Arabidopsis thaliana: one gene and its partner. The protein of the gene in region 1 interacts with the protein of each later gene in a pairwise test. Each region holds a gene or a part of one and is shown on either strand. Other genes may lie near its edges.

Region 1 (9,382 bases):
GATCTAAAACTTTTTAAGTATTCAATTTATTTGTTTCCTTAACCATGTACGGTTTAAACGCAAATGTAACACTACCCAAAACCTAAGCTAGGTTGCTATAGTACACATAAAATATAGCTAGATCTTATCTTTTTTTTTGTAGAAAATGAAATTGTGATGAAATATATATACATTACTAGCAATACATTTGCATATAAAGAATGGAAAGTTATCTTGCAAAACAAAGAAAGAAGTTATTCCTCTAAGATCATGAAGCAAGTAAAGCAAATCACCACAATAGAGTCATAAACCTTCATTTGCTTCAACCACAATTCTCATTCCATACTATATATATATATAAAAACTCTTTCTCCCCATTTTCACTTCTTCATCACCACAACACAAACACTTTAAATATTACTCACAAAAATCGAAATGGTGTCTGTACGATCTGTGTTCGTGGCTCTAACCATTCTTTCCATGGATCTAAGGATCTCTCAAGCCAGACCTCATGTCACTTTGAACGAGCAATCAATTGTTGATTACCACCAACAATGGATGACTCAATTCTCTCGAGTTTACAAGGATGAATCCGAGAAAGAAATGAGGCTTAAAGTGTTCAAGAAAAACTTGAAATTCATTGAGAACTTCAATAATATGGGGAACCAAAGCTATACACTTGGTGTCAACGAGTTCACGGATTGGAAAACAGAAGAGTTCCTTGCGACCCACACCGGCCTCCGCGTTAACGTAACTTCACTATCCGAACTATTTAATAAAACGAAGCCATCAAGGAATTGGAACATGAGTGATATCGACATGGAAGACGAAAGCAAAGACTGGAGAGACGAAGGAGCTGTAACACCTGTTAAATATCAAGGAGCATGTCGTAAGAATACTGTGATCATTTATTATAAACACTTTACACTATAATTGGAAACAGCGTTACAAGAAAGGATAGCATATTCCGACCAAAGAATTTGTCGGAACATCTTGTTTCAGCCGAATTTCCAACGAAACAGATTCGTCGCAATTCTTTGGTCGGAAAACAATATACGTACGATATAGTAAACGGCTGGATTGGTCATTTAATTAATGTCAAAATTACATTCCACATACAAAAAAATACATTTCGCTAAACTTAATCCCCAAGATAGGGTTATTTTAGGTTTAGGGCTAACAGATGATTTGTTTACTAACAAAATGAAGTAACCAATATATATATACATGGGCAGGAAGTTGTTGGGCGTTCTCAGCGATTGGGGCGATGAAGGTTTGACAAAGATATCTGGCAAAAATCTATTAACACTGTCCGAACAACAGCTAATAGATTGCGACATAGAGAAAAACGGTGGTTGCAATGGCGGAGAATTTGAAGAAGCTTTCAAGTACATAATAAAAAACGGAGGCGTTTCTTTAGAAACGGAATACCCTTACCAAGTGAAAAAGGAGAGTTGTCGTGCCAACGCCAGACGCGCCCCACATACACAGATTAGAGGGTTTCAAATGGTTCCAAGCCACAACGAGCGTGCGTTGCTCGAGGCCGTAAGAAGACAGCCCGTCTCGGTGTTGATTGACGCAAGAGCGGACAGTTTCGGTCATTACAAAGGGGGAGTGTACGCTGGGCTGGACTGTGGGACAGACGTGAATCATGCAGTGACGATCGTTGGGTACGGAACGATGAGTGGGCTCAACTACTGGGTTCTTAAGAACTCTTGGGGTGAGAGTTGGGGAGAAAATGGTTACATGAGGATCCGTAGAGATGTGGAGTGGCCTCAAGGAATGTGTGGTATAGCTCAGGTTGCTGCTTATCCGGTTTTTTAACTAATTTACTTAGGTGGTTTTTTATATTGAAGTGATCATACATTTTGTAGCCTGGTTTATGATTGTTTACATGTGGTAAAATTGCAACTTAAACTTGACCTTAAAAACTGTAATATGTTCATTTTATTACTCCATATAAACGTATTTCCCTCACTTTCATAATAAATAAAGGGATGTGTTTTTCACTTAAATCGTGTTCCATAAGAAACATTGTTTGAATTTTCAATGCAAATTTTAAAACCAAATTTAAAATTATCGCTAATAAAACTAAAATTATAGTGTAAGACGTGTTAATTACAAGTAGATTTTGATTTTATTTTTCATCGAAAATGAACCTTTATTAACTTTAATCGAATATCAAACTAGTACAAATGATGGCAAATCCATGGGGCTGGATTAGAGACATCCAAATAGAAAGGTGAATCTACACATCCATATTAGCTAAATGGTAAGCGGCAACATTGTTGCAACGTTTTGTGAAAAGGAATTGGAACTCTTTAAATTTCTGCGACCAATAATGGATATCTTGACATGATATCCTTATGATTAAGATACCTTAGGCAGTATTATAAGTAGATTAGCAAAAAAACAAAAAAAAATTATATATGAATCCATCATTAAGCTTGATTTGTTTTTTTAACTTGTCCAAATAAAAGTTTAGTTTCAATATAACAACATCTACAACACCCGGTTACATATGATACCTCGAGGTCCACGACGACACACTAGTACACTACATATACATAACCAATTCGCACCATATGATATTTAGATACCCCTTTGACAATATCATGTAAGGGCTTTTTTGGAAAGCATCACTAACAAGTTAACAATTGGATTTTTACAAAAACCATAAAAATTTTACTCGGTTTAGTAGACAAATATATTTTGGTGTTATCTTACCATTTACACCAAAAAAAAGAAAAAAAAACTACTAGCAGTATTGATTAAAAATTTAAAACAGAAAATATATATATATATATATACCAAAAAATTGTAAATAGTATTCTTTTGACCTTTGTTTTGGAGTGAATTGGTTGATGAAGAAGAAGAAGAACCTGGTCCGATTCTAAACCTTTTTTTGAATATAAAACGGAATAAAAATATTCTGTGTTTGAGTCGCCTAACAACAACACGCACCACCCGAAATTATAAAGTAAAAGTAATAAAATCAAATTATATAAATTGGCAAAAGTCGAAGAAGATGATGATTGAATGTTTATTTGGCAGTGAATGGAAGAGATAGAGAGGAGCATGGGTCTCTGTGAAGAAGATAACGTAGAGAGAGTTATTATGTTTGATTCTGAAGCGTGACGTCACTCAGAAACCGTGAATCAAGGATCTTTCTTCCACTCCTTTCTCTGATTTTGACTTTCTCTCCTCTCTCTATATATAAGCTCAACATCAATATGTCTACGGCTTCTTCTTGGATTCAACAACCTCCTTTTAGATACTTACCGGATCGTGGCGGTTTCTCTAAGCCAAGCTCTCGCAGCGCGCGGCAGTTTTCCTCCGGCGTTGTTTCAGCTTCCGCTTCTTCTCCTTCGCCTTCATCCTCGTGCTCCTGTGGTTATTCGGAGATTTTGAATTTCGATTTCGGTAATAGGCTTTGATCTTCGAATGATGTTTGTCGTGTAGATTTAGGGATTGATTACTTTGTTCATGTTTATCGAATGATGCGTTGTTACATCTGGAAATGACCTGACATTGTACTGCAAAGTTTCATAGCTGAGGATTTCTCGATCAAAGACGTTGTTTAGGATGGTGAAGAATAGTATCGCCTAATTTAGATTGAGGAGGAGCTCAATTACAGTGTCTATATACACAGATTTGTCCCTGTTTCTGCAAGAGATAGAAGATTTTAAGATGTTAGATGATTGTGATATGCCAAGTAGAATTAGTGATAGTATGGTTTGTTTGGTCAAGAATCGGCTCTGTTTTTCTTTTGATTTAGAGCTCACAATTTCGGTGTCTATTTAAACAGATTTTTCCCTGTTTCTGCGATCGAAAATAAGCTTGAACATGTTAAATGATTGTGAGAAGCTAAGTAGAAATGGTGATAGTATGATTTGTTTGGTTAAGAATTGGCTCTGTTCTTTATAGCTTTTTCCGCGGGTTCATTTGTTTGATTTTTCTTTAAGAAGGGTCAAACAGAAGCTGGAACCAACAGGGACGCAGGGTTCAGGCAATGAGTTCCACAGCCCAACGGAAATTTTCGCTATCGAAAGGCGACTCCGATGACAAAAATGAACCTGATCATCTTCTTGTTCTTGTACATGGTATTTTGGCCAGGTATTATTTCTAAGTAGTTCATCAATTGAATGGTACTGGGTTTGCATCTTGGGAAACCCTCATGGTTTTGTTTTAGGTTGGATAGAAACTTGCAAGTATTTGAATTTGAAAGTTATGTCTATCATTGTCAAAAAAAAGAAAGAAAGTTATGTCTATCATTTCTGCTACTTTGTTTTCAGATTGAATAATTTATAGACTCCAAATTTACTAAGACACAATTACTTGCAGTCCCAGCGACTGGCTCTACGTAGAAGCTGAGCTGAAAAGACGCCTTGGAAGAAGATTCTTGATTTATGGTATGCTCATCTTGTTCTAAATTGTTATCATCTATTAGTTTAGTTGAGTAGTTGTTGGATTGTATGTATAATAGAAGAGAATTTTTGGGAATGAAATGGTAACGTAAGTTGAATGCATGTGCTGGGCACAAAATTGAAAACACTTCAAGGTCTTATATAATCTTTAGCGGCAAGAGGCGAAATATACATTTTCTTGAAAAATTTAAGATCTTTTCGTCTGGAACCACAACTCTTCTTTAGTTTTGTATTTTATTATAATACTCATGTGCTTTTATGCTATGCGTGGAATGGATCACACGTGATGTGTTTTAATTTACTCTGTTTCTCCTGAACATTCACAGCAAGTTCTTCCAATACCTTCACTAAAACATTTGGCGGGATCGATGGAGCTGGAAAACGACTAGCAGAAGAGGTGAGTTTTAATATCTTCATTTGCACCTCGTGTATAGGTAGGTCTTGGTTTTCTAGCCCTTAACTTCAGTACATGAGCTGATTTCTGTTCCCATTCTGGATGTGAGAGAGGAATAGGTTAGACAAGTTGTCCAAAAGAGCAAGAGCTTAAAGAAGATTTCGTTTTTAGCCCACTCCCTCGGTGGCTTATTTTCCAGACATGCTGTTGCTGTTCTTTACTCAGCAGCAATGGCACAAGTAAGTGATGTTGCTGTCTCTCAATCTGGCAATTCAAATCTTCTGCGAGGTAGGATTGCGGGGCTAGAACCGATTAATTTCATCACTTTGGCAACACCTCATCTAGGAGTGAGAGGCAGAAAGCAGGTTCTCTTCTTCTCTACTTATCATAATTGGAATTTTGGAATCAAAGAGTTTCATATATATCTCGCAGTACCTGTACGTAGATGTGGTGTATGCGTAATTAAGAAAGTAGTTAGTCGTTTTTCACATGTAAATTTCATCTACCTTCTCCTTGTGTTCAGACAGATATCATAAGTTTCATCAAAACTGTCTTGCGTTTTTTGCTATTTGGTCCCCTAAGTGTCTAGACTGATGAGTGATGAATATTAATTGATAATCCCTGTAAATTCTATCTCATTCTCTCCTCTTTTTCTGGAACCCCTTGTATCAGCTGCCTTTTCTGTTGGGAGTTCCTATTCTTGAGAAACTTGCTGCACCAATAGCTCCATTCTTTGTTGGTCGGACTGGTAGTCAGTTGTTCCTCACTGATGGTAAAGCTGATAAACCACCTCTTCTTTTGAGGATGGCATCTGATGGTGAAGATCTGAAATTCTTGTGAGTAATGCTCTTACCAATTTAAATCATTCGACCCCTTAATGACTTATCTGTAATCCTAATGCATTTCATTGTCTGGCAGATCGGCGCTGGGGGCATTTCGAAGTCGCATTATATATGCAAACGTATCTTATGACCGTATCCTGTGCATTTCTGTTGCTGTTTAACTAGTACAGATGTGCCTAGCTGTGTCTGCATTTGTTTTCTGAACTGTTTCCTTTGACATCAAGTAGACATGGTTGGTTGGCGTACATCTTCCATTAGGAGAGAAACTGAACTTATCAAGGTACGTTTCATGCTATATGAAGCAATGGAACCTTTCTATTTAATATTACCCCACTTGTTTTCATGTTCCTTCTATTATGTAAGTTGATTTCGACTCTGAAACGTGTAGCACACACTAGCTAGATGATGGGGTCATCGATATTGATAGTTAGCTTGCTGTGAAATGCTAACGGTAGCTAACTTATCCTGAATTTTGGAATTATGAGTAATCATAGAGGGAAAGTTTCATAGAGGTAAAGAGTCTAAGAAATGAAACAATTGTCTGTAGAGAATCACCAAAAATACTTTCGGCAATTCATTTATCTCAAGTAGCTTCGTGCAAGAAGCTCTCTGTGGCTTGTAACCAGTCAAATGAAACTTTGAAAATTATTTAGCTGTCACGAGTGAGATCTGATAGATATGTTTTTCCCCTGTTTTAATATAGCCTTCACGCCGGTCTCTGGATGGATACAAGCATGTTGTTGATGTTGAATACTGTCCACCTGTTTCATCAGATGGTGCCCATTTCCCTCCAGAAGCTGCTAAAGCCAAGGAGGCCGCACAAAGCTCTCCTAGCCCTCAGAACACACTTGAGTATCATGAAATTGTGGAAGGTGTAGAATTAGCCCAAACATTTGATTGATTCTTCTAAATCGGCATGAGATTTACAATTTATACAAATATTGGTGCAGAGGAAATGATCCGCGGTCTGCAGAGGTTGGGGTGGAAGAAAGTTGATGTCAGCTTCCACTCCACCTTCTGGCCTTACTTAGCTCATAACAACATTCACGTAAACTTCCAACATCTTCACTTTGGAGCTTTTTAATTCTTTGAAACATGGACTAACAGAGATTTTGAGTCTTGTTTCAGGTGAAAAGTGAAAGACTTTACAAAGCAGGAGCTGGAGTTATTGCACACGTTGCAGATAGTATAAAACAGCAAGAGTCTTCCACGTTTATTACCGCCAGCTTATAAATCGTGAGCATTTCGAGTGTTTGACCCGTTAATGCTGAGTGTGCTACGACATTTGAACCATTCCTGTGTTTTGCTTTTACCATACAGTTTGGGAGATCGGTGCAGATCAAGAATGTTCGCATCTTTGCTTCTTCTATTTTTTTTCTTGGCGAAATCAGAAGAAGTACAATCCAATTCATCTGTACATGATTTTCTTGTATTAGCTTGTTGATGATACAACACTTGAAAGATGTTATTATAGATTAAGGTTTCTTAAAGAGAAAAGTTATATATGTTCAACCTCTACTCTTCAAAATAACAGATTCAGCTGAAGACATTTGTTTCTAGTCAATTTGTTTTTGGAATTTTTCTTAATTCAAAGAAAATTGTGCAAAAGCTTTCATGTGCGGCTCAGATTAATTAGTCATTTACTACTAATAAAACTTTCACTTTGGGGTCTAGTAGATAATTCTCCACCCCCATTGAATCTTTTTAGTGGAGGTCTAAACATACATAAGATTCTATAGATTGACATTTGGGAAACCATCCTCATACAAAAAAGACCTAAACGGAATCTATGAAGAATTATTAACAGAAAAGAAAAACAGATGGCAATGAGAAAAGATCGGGTTCAAGGAAAACACAGCCGTACAAAACTCAAGAACAAAAACACCAAAAATAAACAAAAAAACTTCCAAAAATAGATATAGAATCACATGGTTTTGTTGTTTTGTCTATTTGTTCTCTATAAAAGGAGATATTTGGTTGGATCTATCATAGCGTCTCCTCTCAACCAAAGCTTACAATTTGTTCTCCCTTAAAAACTAAATTTTACAAATAAACTCTCAAATCCAAGAGAGGAGAAGACCGAAGTAAAAACACAAGAAAAAAAAGGATTAAGGCATAATGGCCAAATTCTTCATTGTCTTCCTTGCCTCTGCCCTATGTTTCACCACCCTCGTTCACTTCACCGCAGCTGATGCCGACGACTTTGACAAATTCCACATCAAGGGCTCCGTCTACTGCGACACATGCCGTGTCCAATTCATCACCCGTATCAGCAAATTTCTCGAGGGTAATTAACCACATTCTCTAATCAAATTCATTTGTTGAGCATACTGTCAATAGCAAAATATATTGGTTGATAAAAAATCGATCCCATTATGGTATATAGGTCAATGGTTAGAATTGTGTAGTAAAAATTCACAAAAATGATTACAAGCATATATAGACGTCTTTTTAACAATGTTAAAATTTTATAAAAATGTGGTTAGTCACATTTCTAAGAGTTAGTGTTGCAAGATTATAAGAAAAACTAATTACGTTATTGTGTGTATATCAGGGGCAAAGGTAAAGCTTGAGTGCAAGGGTCGTGAGAACCAGACAGTGACCCTAACCAAAGAAGCCGTGACCGACAACGCCGGTAACTACCAGATGGAAGTAATGGGTGACCACGAAGAGGAAGTGTGCGAGATCGTCCTCCTCCAATCACCTGACCCAGAGTGTGGAGACGTGAACAACCAAGAATTCCTAAGAAACGCAGCCAGAATCAGTCTCACGGCCAATGATGGCATTGTCTCCAACGAGACTCGAACCATTAACCCACTTGGGTTCATGAGGAAGACTCCTCTCGCTGAATGCCCTCAAGTTTTCAAGGAGCTTGGAATCGTCCCTGACGTCACCTTCTAAGCTTAATATACATATATACACACCCATATACATCGATCTCTCAAAGTCTCAACACTTTCAATTTTTTTGATGACTCTTTTTAATATATAAAACATTTATTTATGTTTTTTATGTGTCTGTCTGAGTTTACTAATTAACCATGTTTTTTTTTCGTTGTTATTGTTTTATTTTTGGGAGTTCTTTTTTACGAATGATTTGATTACCTTCCAATATTTATTTGTTACTTTTCGATTGAACAGATACATGCATGATGTAGTGAAAAACCCTACTCTAAAATAAATTTAAATCATTTACATGCATAGTGAAATTTATGACAGTTTGAGAAAGCTACATATGTAACATATAATGTGAATTATAGTTTGAGGTAAATGACTCAAACTGAAATAAGCAAAAGACAACAAATAAAATCGAACCCTTACCTAAAGAAGGCGGATCAGAGTTTTGTATATATTGGGCCTTTAGTCTGAGCCACTAGGCCTGAATCACAAAACGCGTTTTCACGACAAGCGTTTGCACCAGGATCTTTTGCAGCGTCTGGCGTTGGTTTTCAAACTCTGAATCCGAAACGCTAGATTTTAAGACGCCGAATTTGTTAAGCGTTCTCTATTTCCTGATTTCAGCATCTAAAGACAAATATACCCTTCAAAAAATTGTAAAACTACGAGAAGACTGTCCATTTATCTTTTCTTTCAAGCCAAAAAAAACTCTCGAATCTTCTTCTTCTTATTTCTTCTATACCGTCGTCGAAAAGCTTTACCAAAATCTCACGCCCCCGACGATTCATCGGTAAGTCTTGTTCTTGCGAAATTTCATTAATTCTTCTTCTGGGTTTGCTTATC
Region 2 (7,658 bases), on another chromosome or scaffold:
AACGATGACAAAATGTGAGCTACCATTGAATGAAATATGTGATGTGTTGTTCAACTCATCAAATTTGTACTTTTTGAAGTTTTATTTTCTAATATGTCTTTATTTAAAGTATTTATTTTTGCTTTGAATTTTGTTTTTAATTTATGCATTTATTTTGTTGATATGTAGTTTGTTTATAGGTGCATTTATTTTGTTTTTGTTGTTGTTGTTGTTTTCTATGTTTGATCAATTGTAGTGATTGATTTGATTTTTTAATACATATTTGAACTTTTTATAATTAACATATTTTAATAAACTAAACAAAAGGAATCTTAAGATATTATATTAATCGAATGAATATGAATTAAGAAATATATGTCATTAATGATGTTCATCAACTTTTCTAATGAGAGACTTTATGGTCATGAGAATGTCCTTTGGATTAACCTTGGACCCATCATGCTCTTCGTGGGTCAAAACCCGGAGATAACGGCTACAGCCGCTGAGTACTGTCTTTATGCACTTCCTATTTTTTTTACCAATACTCTGCTTCAGCCGTTACGAGTTTATCTAAGGTCCTAGCGAGTGACTAAACCAATGATGTGGTGTACTTTAGTAGCTATGGTGTTCCATGTGCCGTTGAATTATTGGCTTGTGATGGTGAAGCATTGGGGTGTTCTTGGTGTGGCTATTGCATCTGTTGTGACGAATTTGATCATGGTTGTGCTTTTGGTTGGTTATGTTTGGATGAGTGGGATGTTGCGGAAGAGAGTGAGTGGTGATGGTGATGGTGGGTCTACTACGGTGGTGGCTCAATTGTCATCTATGTTGGAGTTGTTTGGGGATATGTTTGGAGTGGTGGTGGTATGAGATTGTGATTGTGATGGGTGGATACTTGGAGAATCCTAAGCTTGTTGTGGCTGCCACTGGAATTTTGATTCAGACTACTAGTCTTATGTATACTGTTCCTACGGCTTTAGCTGAATGCGTCTCTGCTCGGGTATGTATCTCTATACTTCTTTGTTGTGATATGTTAATGGTCAGAATTTTAGTTAAATTAAAGAAGACTAAGTGGTCAAAATTTGAGTCAAAGCTACAAAGTTGATTTGAGTCATGATTAGACTAATGATTAGTGATTAAGTGGTCAAGATTTGAGTCTAGAAAACTATTTAACTAAGTTGATTTGGGTTTTGCATTTGAATGTTCAAAATCAAATTGTGGATGAAACGTTTGAAGTCAACACATGTCTTTGCTTTTTTTTTTTAAAGAAAATTTTTGTTGTGCCTATGATTGATATTGGAGAGAGTGAGAGTAATTAGATTAAATTAAAGACTAAAAAGGCAAAAGTCTTGGAACTTGAAGGTACCAAAACATTTCAGTAGAGGCAATAACGTTTTATTCAAAAAAGATGTACAAGTTTTTTATCTGTTAGCTGGTGCTGTAAGTTTTACCGAAATAGTGCAAAGCTCTATGAAAAAGTTGTAGGAGAAAACTGTACAAAAAAGTTGAGAGTAAACTGTTTGTAACGCTTTTGACAAAGTGTACAGCTTTGTAAAGCTTTTCCCAATCAAACCCATGAACTTTTATTCTTGTATTGCTTTCTGCTATATATATTCAAAATATCTACAATTCATATATAAAAAAATGTCTATAGAGAACCTATCATGAAGAAGAATTTACTACAATTTATGTTTAGCATAAAAATGATAATATTTAAAAAATTTAAATAATATACCTACTTTACTTAGAAAAACAACTTGTGGGCAAACTTGAAGAGTGCTTATGATCTTGAATTGACTAACGTAAAATTTTCTACTAAATTTGATAATTTGAAACTCTAATTTTTCTAAGTTTTATATCTCCTGGATAATGTATTTTTCTTGATAAGTTTAAAAAACGTTTTTTCTTATTTAATGTATTTTTTTTGCTACGAATTTTTTTAATTGATTTATTCCTTTTGCTGATTTGTAGTTTGTTTTAAAGTGTATTTTTCTGTTGTTGAATGTAATGATCAATTTGGATTTTTAATATGTTAGAAATAAATCAAATTAACATATTTACTATGTAAAATAACAATAAATATACCTTAAGATTTTATATTGGTCGAATGCTATGTTAGTATTGATTTTCAATATTTTCTAATAAACAAATTTCATGGTCATGAGAATGTGTAGGTAGCTTTGTTTTAAGCTTACATATTTTAAAATTTCTAGAATTTCTTTTTAAAAACATGTCTAATTATTAATTCATTTGTATTTACAATATGTTTATCCACAATATATTTCAAGTATTGTTTATTATACCTTTCACCATTCAAATATTTATACCATATTTCATATTGTTTCCTTTTTATCTTTCACACATTATTCAGCAACTTATTTTATCTAACTACATGAAAAATATACAATGACGAAGATAATCCCATCAAACAACAATCACTAAACAGTACCAACGAGATTTACCAAAAATACCTACGGATAATCTAACGATAACTTCTATTTCCTCATATTAAGCTGCTGAGAACCTTTCTCTCGATAACCCCATCAAACAACAATCACTAAACAGATCTTAAACATACTTCCAATAACACCCAACTACAAATTAAATTAGCAATTTTACTAATAAAAATCTTAAACCAATGAGAAAACAAAATTAGTAGTCCCCACAAATAAAATTGAAATAAAAACTAAAACTATTAAAATAAAAAGTCGGTTAATAATGAGTAGGTGTGAACAAATGAGAGAGGAGGAGGATCAGCTTTGCTTTTGTTCCCTTTTCTCGTCTCTGCAGCTTCCTTGTTGTCAACTTCTGGAAGCCTTTGATTGATTGCAACTTCTATCTCCATTCTCCTGCTCATTTAATATTCCAATTAATAGTCAATCTCGTCGAATCTTCAATTTTTTAAAGCTTTTGGTCAAATCAAATGTAATGCAAAGACAGACCAAAACCTCCTCTTCTTCTTCTTATATACTTCCTCTCCTACAAAATCTCTATTTACTTCCATCTTCTCTGCTAAAGACCTTTCTTCACCATTCCCAATTTTCCGGTAACTCTCTCTTTCTCATGTGTATGACAAAAAGTTTATAGCTTTGATCGTAAAATTCGGTGCTTTATTGTTCTAGCTACAGAGATTTTTTGTGGGTCTGCTTTGATTTCTCAATAACGATGTTCCATAATAAAGTTATGGTTTTTTGTTTGATTCGAGTTATTGTTGTGGCCTGTGGGGATTGTTTGGTACAGTGGTTTATGTATATGTTTTGGTAAAGTTGTCTTCTTTGTTTCTCTCTCTTTTGGTGGAAACCAGATTGGAGTTGTTGAACTATATGCTAGTGTTTGATTTTTGTAACCATTTTGTTTATTATTGATTTGAGGTTCTAAAGTCTTGACCTTTTTTGACATACCCTGAAGTGACTTTGTTGAACTCGAGAAGCCACATTTGTTAGTGTTCTTGATGAGCTCGGTTCTTTCTTTTTTTGTTATTCATGCTGATAGGCTTCTTGTTTTGGTTGTTTGTTTGCAGTTCTTGTTTCTGATTGAATCTAGATATTGATTAAGCTATGGATGTCAATCGGAAAGCTCACCCGGATTGTCGATATTCTTCAAATCCTTTCCATGAATGTGCTTCAGATTGTTTAGAGAAGATCTCTCAAGGCCGTGGAAATAAGAATTCAAAGAAGCAAGGTACTTTCTCTGTTCTCACACTATGTTTGATCCGTTACTCTATGAGTATGCTTCTGTTGTGATGGATATTTCTGTCTTTGTCCTTCTTTAGGTATTGCTTCAAGGATAATTCTTGGAGGGTTGTCTGTTATGACAGTTATAGTTTGATCAAGGCTTTTTAGCTTTCGATGGATCTGCAAAGTTGTTTCCTTTCTTTTCTCATTGTGATTTGGTTGTTACAGGTTCAAAGATTCTTAGCCTTCCGGGGAGTTTTGGTAAGAAAAAGACGGAGTCACAGCCACCGTCACCCCTGAGTACAAGGAACTATCAGAATGGTGCTGCTAATACCCCAAAGGTTCGTCAATCAAGACCTTCACCAGTAGCTATGAAGAAGACGCCAGTTCCAGAAGCGAACAAATCTTTACACTCTTTATCGTCTGATGGAATCTCTATTGACCTCAACGGTCAGAATGATTCTTTTAACCATAAGCAGGAGAAGCCATCGCGAACTGTTCCTCTATCCCCAAACAGCATGGTATTTCTTAGTTACCCTCTCTTACTTATCATCTACGTAGGTGTATGATATATATATTAGAGACCTGTAGAGTCTTGGTTTTATGTAATGTTCTTACAAGCAGGAGTTTGATCTTAAAATGTTCGGTTTTGTTTTCAATGTTGTTCAGGCTGATCGTGGGAAACCCTTATCACCACGACCTCAAGGGCATGAACACAGTGGCAAGAATGACACAGCCAGTGAGATTAGTTTGTTTAATGTTGTAAGCCCTCCAAGATCATGCGCCAATGATGATGATGATGATGATGATGAAAACAATGGTTACGAGGAGGGAGTGGAGTTAGACCTTATATCAGTAATGTCAGACTCATGTGTTTCGGTTGGAAAATACCGTGTGAACTCAAGTGTTTCCACAATCCTACAGTCAATCATTGATAAACACGGAGACATAGCAGCAAACTGCAAGCTAGAATCAGCATCAATGCGATCCCGATACCTAGAGTGTCTATGCTCATTGATGCAAGAACTTGGATCAACCCCGGTGGGTCAGTTAACCGAACTAAAAGTAAAAGAGATGGTCGCGGTTCTCAAGGACTTGGAGTCTGTGAACATCGACGTTGGCTGGATGCGTTCGGTTCTTGAGGAGTTTGCTCAGTATCAAGAGAACACAGACTCAGAGAAGGAGAGACAAGAAGGATTGGTGAGGTCTAAGAAACAAGAAATGGAGATTCAAGAAGCTGATTTGGCTCGGATTGAGAAGGAAGTAGCGGAGGCGAGGTTGAGGGTCGAGGAGATGAAAGCAGAGCTCGCTGAGCTCGAGACAGAGCGGTTGCGGATGGAGGAGATGGGATTTAAGGTCGAGAAATATAAAGGGAAGACGTTTCTTGATGAACTTCTGTGATGGTTGTTAATATAGAGTAAACACAATACTCCAGAAGATTAATACTAATGTTTAGTTTATGTTTGATATATAAGATGTTCTTTAATAGTCAAAACCTGATCTGAGTCATTAAGGTGAAGATTCACCAAAGAGTATTATTTTCTTGTTTAATTCTTTTGGTGATAATAAATTGTTTCTTCTTTTTATTTATTTATATTTGCATCAATAACTCATATAGTCATATTTATCTTGTATTATTTCTGCTATTTAATACACTGATAATATTTACAAGTAGGGATATGAATTATTGTACCATGTGTTTTCTAAAGAGATGAGAGTTTGGACTGCAATCTTTGGCTAATCAAAGAAACACAGCAAGTGAACTTTGAGCATAATCAACTTCTTTTTTTCATTAACATTTCAGCTTTTTACAATGAGATAACTTCTTGCGAAAACTTAATATGATTAAATAACCTCTTTTCATATTGTTTTTGTCAATAACAAAAAGCAAATTAAATTTCATCTATTTTGGACTACAAAAAAAAATCATCTCTTTTATTCTTGTGTTTTATCAATAGTATATATGTCATATACATGAGTTTTTATATATAATGTTGTTTCTTTTACCATGTTGTGACATGCTCTACAATAAATCTAAGTTAATATTGTTTCTACTCATAACGACTGAAAATTGAAATATTCACAAACCCGCAAACAATATATGCATTGTATTTATTATTTAAACTATTATTTTGGACAATTTTATATGATATATATCGTTCACATTGATTTTCACTATACTCAACATGAGATGTGATATATAGTGATAGTTTGCATATGATAATAGTAATTTCCAAAATTATGAACATGTCTGATACCACTTTCACTAGTATTTTTTAATTTGTATTATTCGTCAAACTCAGACATTCACAATAAAAAGGTTATTACGGATTTTTTGCAATTTTTCTTAATGATATTTATGGATTTTGCATTTTTGTTTAAATCATACGGATTTGCTATTTTTGAAAAATTATATATATATATATATATATATATATGATTATTTTGTTATAATACATAGTTTATAACAAATAATAAATTCTAATAATAAATGGAACTGACTAAAATTAAATAAAAAGGATAAAATACGTTAAAAATCATATTTATATATTCTAAAAATTGATAAATCCATAAGATTTTAGCTAAAGTGTCAAAATCCATAAATGCCACAATTAAAATGGTAAATTCATATTTGATTCTTCAAATAAATGACAATTCTTAAGAAAAGTTGATATGTATTCTGTTTCACAAATATTTAGTTTCAGAAGAATTTAGCAAACGTAATGTGTCCTTTCTTCTTTTACTTTTTTCTTAACAGAAAGAAGCACCTACATGAATAAAATGTAGCTCAATATTTAATTAATTCAGATACCTTTCAATGAAAACCATTTTATAATAATTGAGACAATACGTGAGTAAGAGTGGGCGCAATGTGTGTCCTTTCTTCTTTTCACCTTCTTCCTCTTTTGTCGGAAAAGTGAAGATTGAACAAGAGAAAGAATGTGAATGAAAAAACGGACACATTACACCGACTCTCTCAAGTGGTGAGGTTCTTAAAATCAAATATTTTTACCATTTAAGATGTCTCGGGTGTTAATTTTGTCGAATAAGTATCGAGAAATTACAATAGTATGTGCATGGTGGGTTAAAGCTCTAATTATTAAAGTAGACTATATACAAGATTGTCCCCGAAATATCACCTTTTTGTCCAATTTTTTTAACAAATATCATCGTTAACAACATTTTGGAGTTAATAAAAAAAAATGATTGATATGTCGGAGTCATTATTCAATATCACAGAATTATAATACACATAATGAACATTAGTTTTGGTTTAAACCCGGTTCAGTTTATCCAATCTTCAATCAATCAACTCATTAGCACCGTTTGGCTCTTTACTCTTGCATAACTCCTTAAGAGCAAATCTAAATTCTTCCAAGACGAACCAGTCCCTTGCACCAAAGCTACTTTTGCCATTTTTGAGTATTCTGTCTTGCGATTTTTTCCCGTTTCTCTTTCCATTAGTTCTTTAACCTGTAAAATTAGAATATTAATAAGTCTTGAAAAGCCAATACGTACGTGGTTGGTTACCATTAATTTAGTGTAACAATTTTTTCAGATTTACTAATAAAAATAAAATAAAACAAAACATTCTTGTTGTTCTCGATATCTTTCGACTTGGTTCATCTCTAATCATAAATCCTTGCACATTACCATTTTGCGTTTCAACTCTTACTCCGACCTGTATCTCCTCCACAACCATCTTCGCATTGAGCGGTTGATCGGCCATCATCCACCAAGCCAGCAATGGAACTCTAACGCATATGCTCTCTTGAGCTGAATTCCATCCACAATGGCTCAAAAATCCTTTGAAACTTTCATGTGACAAACTGACAATATCTCCCATTGGTCTACCCAATTTCTCACTATCATCCCACTCTCGCTTATTCTATCGTTGAATCCTTCTCCAATAATCTCTTCCACGTCTTTTCTCGTGACCCATAGAAAGTTGACCTGAAATGAATCAGACTACGACATATTATGAAATACTTACTACTCGACATG

The links. The genes of interacting proteins can lie anywhere in the genome.
Region 2: the proteins of AT1G29120 (region 1) and AT2G16900 interact in a two-hybrid assay, tested with the Arabidopsis thaliana proteins (one large-scale study listed by BioGRID).

Annotation. Positions count from the first base shown.
Region 1 is NC_003070.9:10,171,269-10,180,650, forward strand, and holds AT1G29120 (Hydrolase-like protein family), read left to right. Parts: upstream 1-2,918; 5' UTR 2,919-3,212; coding exon 3,213-3,402; intron 3,403-3,944; coding exon of another isoform or gene 3,945-3,947; coding exon 3,948-4,095; intron 4,096-4,323; coding exon 4,324-4,391; intron 4,392-4,732; coding exon 4,733-4,803; intron 4,804-4,919; coding exon 4,920-5,165; intron 5,166-5,472; coding exon 5,473-5,636; intron 5,637-5,718; coding exon 5,719-5,774; coding exon of another isoform or gene 5,775-5,803; exon of another isoform or gene 5,804-5,866; coding exon 5,867-5,922; intron 5,923-6,345; coding exon 6,346-6,514; coding exon of another isoform or gene 6,515-6,543; exon of another isoform or gene 6,544-6,592; coding exon 6,593-6,690; coding exon of another isoform or gene 6,691-6,726; exon of another isoform or gene 6,727-6,770; coding exon 6,771-6,875; 3' UTR 6,876-6,878; exon of another isoform or gene 6,879-6,962; 3' UTR 6,963-7,253; downstream 7,254-9,382. Other genes in the region: AT1G29110 (Cysteine proteinases superfamily protein), read left to right, coding at 415-868, 1,253-1,803; AT1G29140 (Pollen Ole e 1 allergen and extensin family protein), read left to right, coding at 7,761-7,929, 8,197-8,543.
Region 2 is NC_003071.7:7,321,253-7,328,910, reverse strand, and holds AT2G16900 (phospholipase-like protein (PEARLI 4) family protein), read left to right. Parts: upstream 1-2,593; 5' UTR 2,594-3,025; exon of another isoform or gene 3,026-3,499; 5' UTR 3,500-3,536; coding exon 3,537-3,660; exon of another isoform or gene 3,661-3,881; coding exon 3,882-4,174; intron 4,175-4,322; coding exon 4,323-5,054; 3' UTR 5,055-5,296; downstream 5,297-7,658.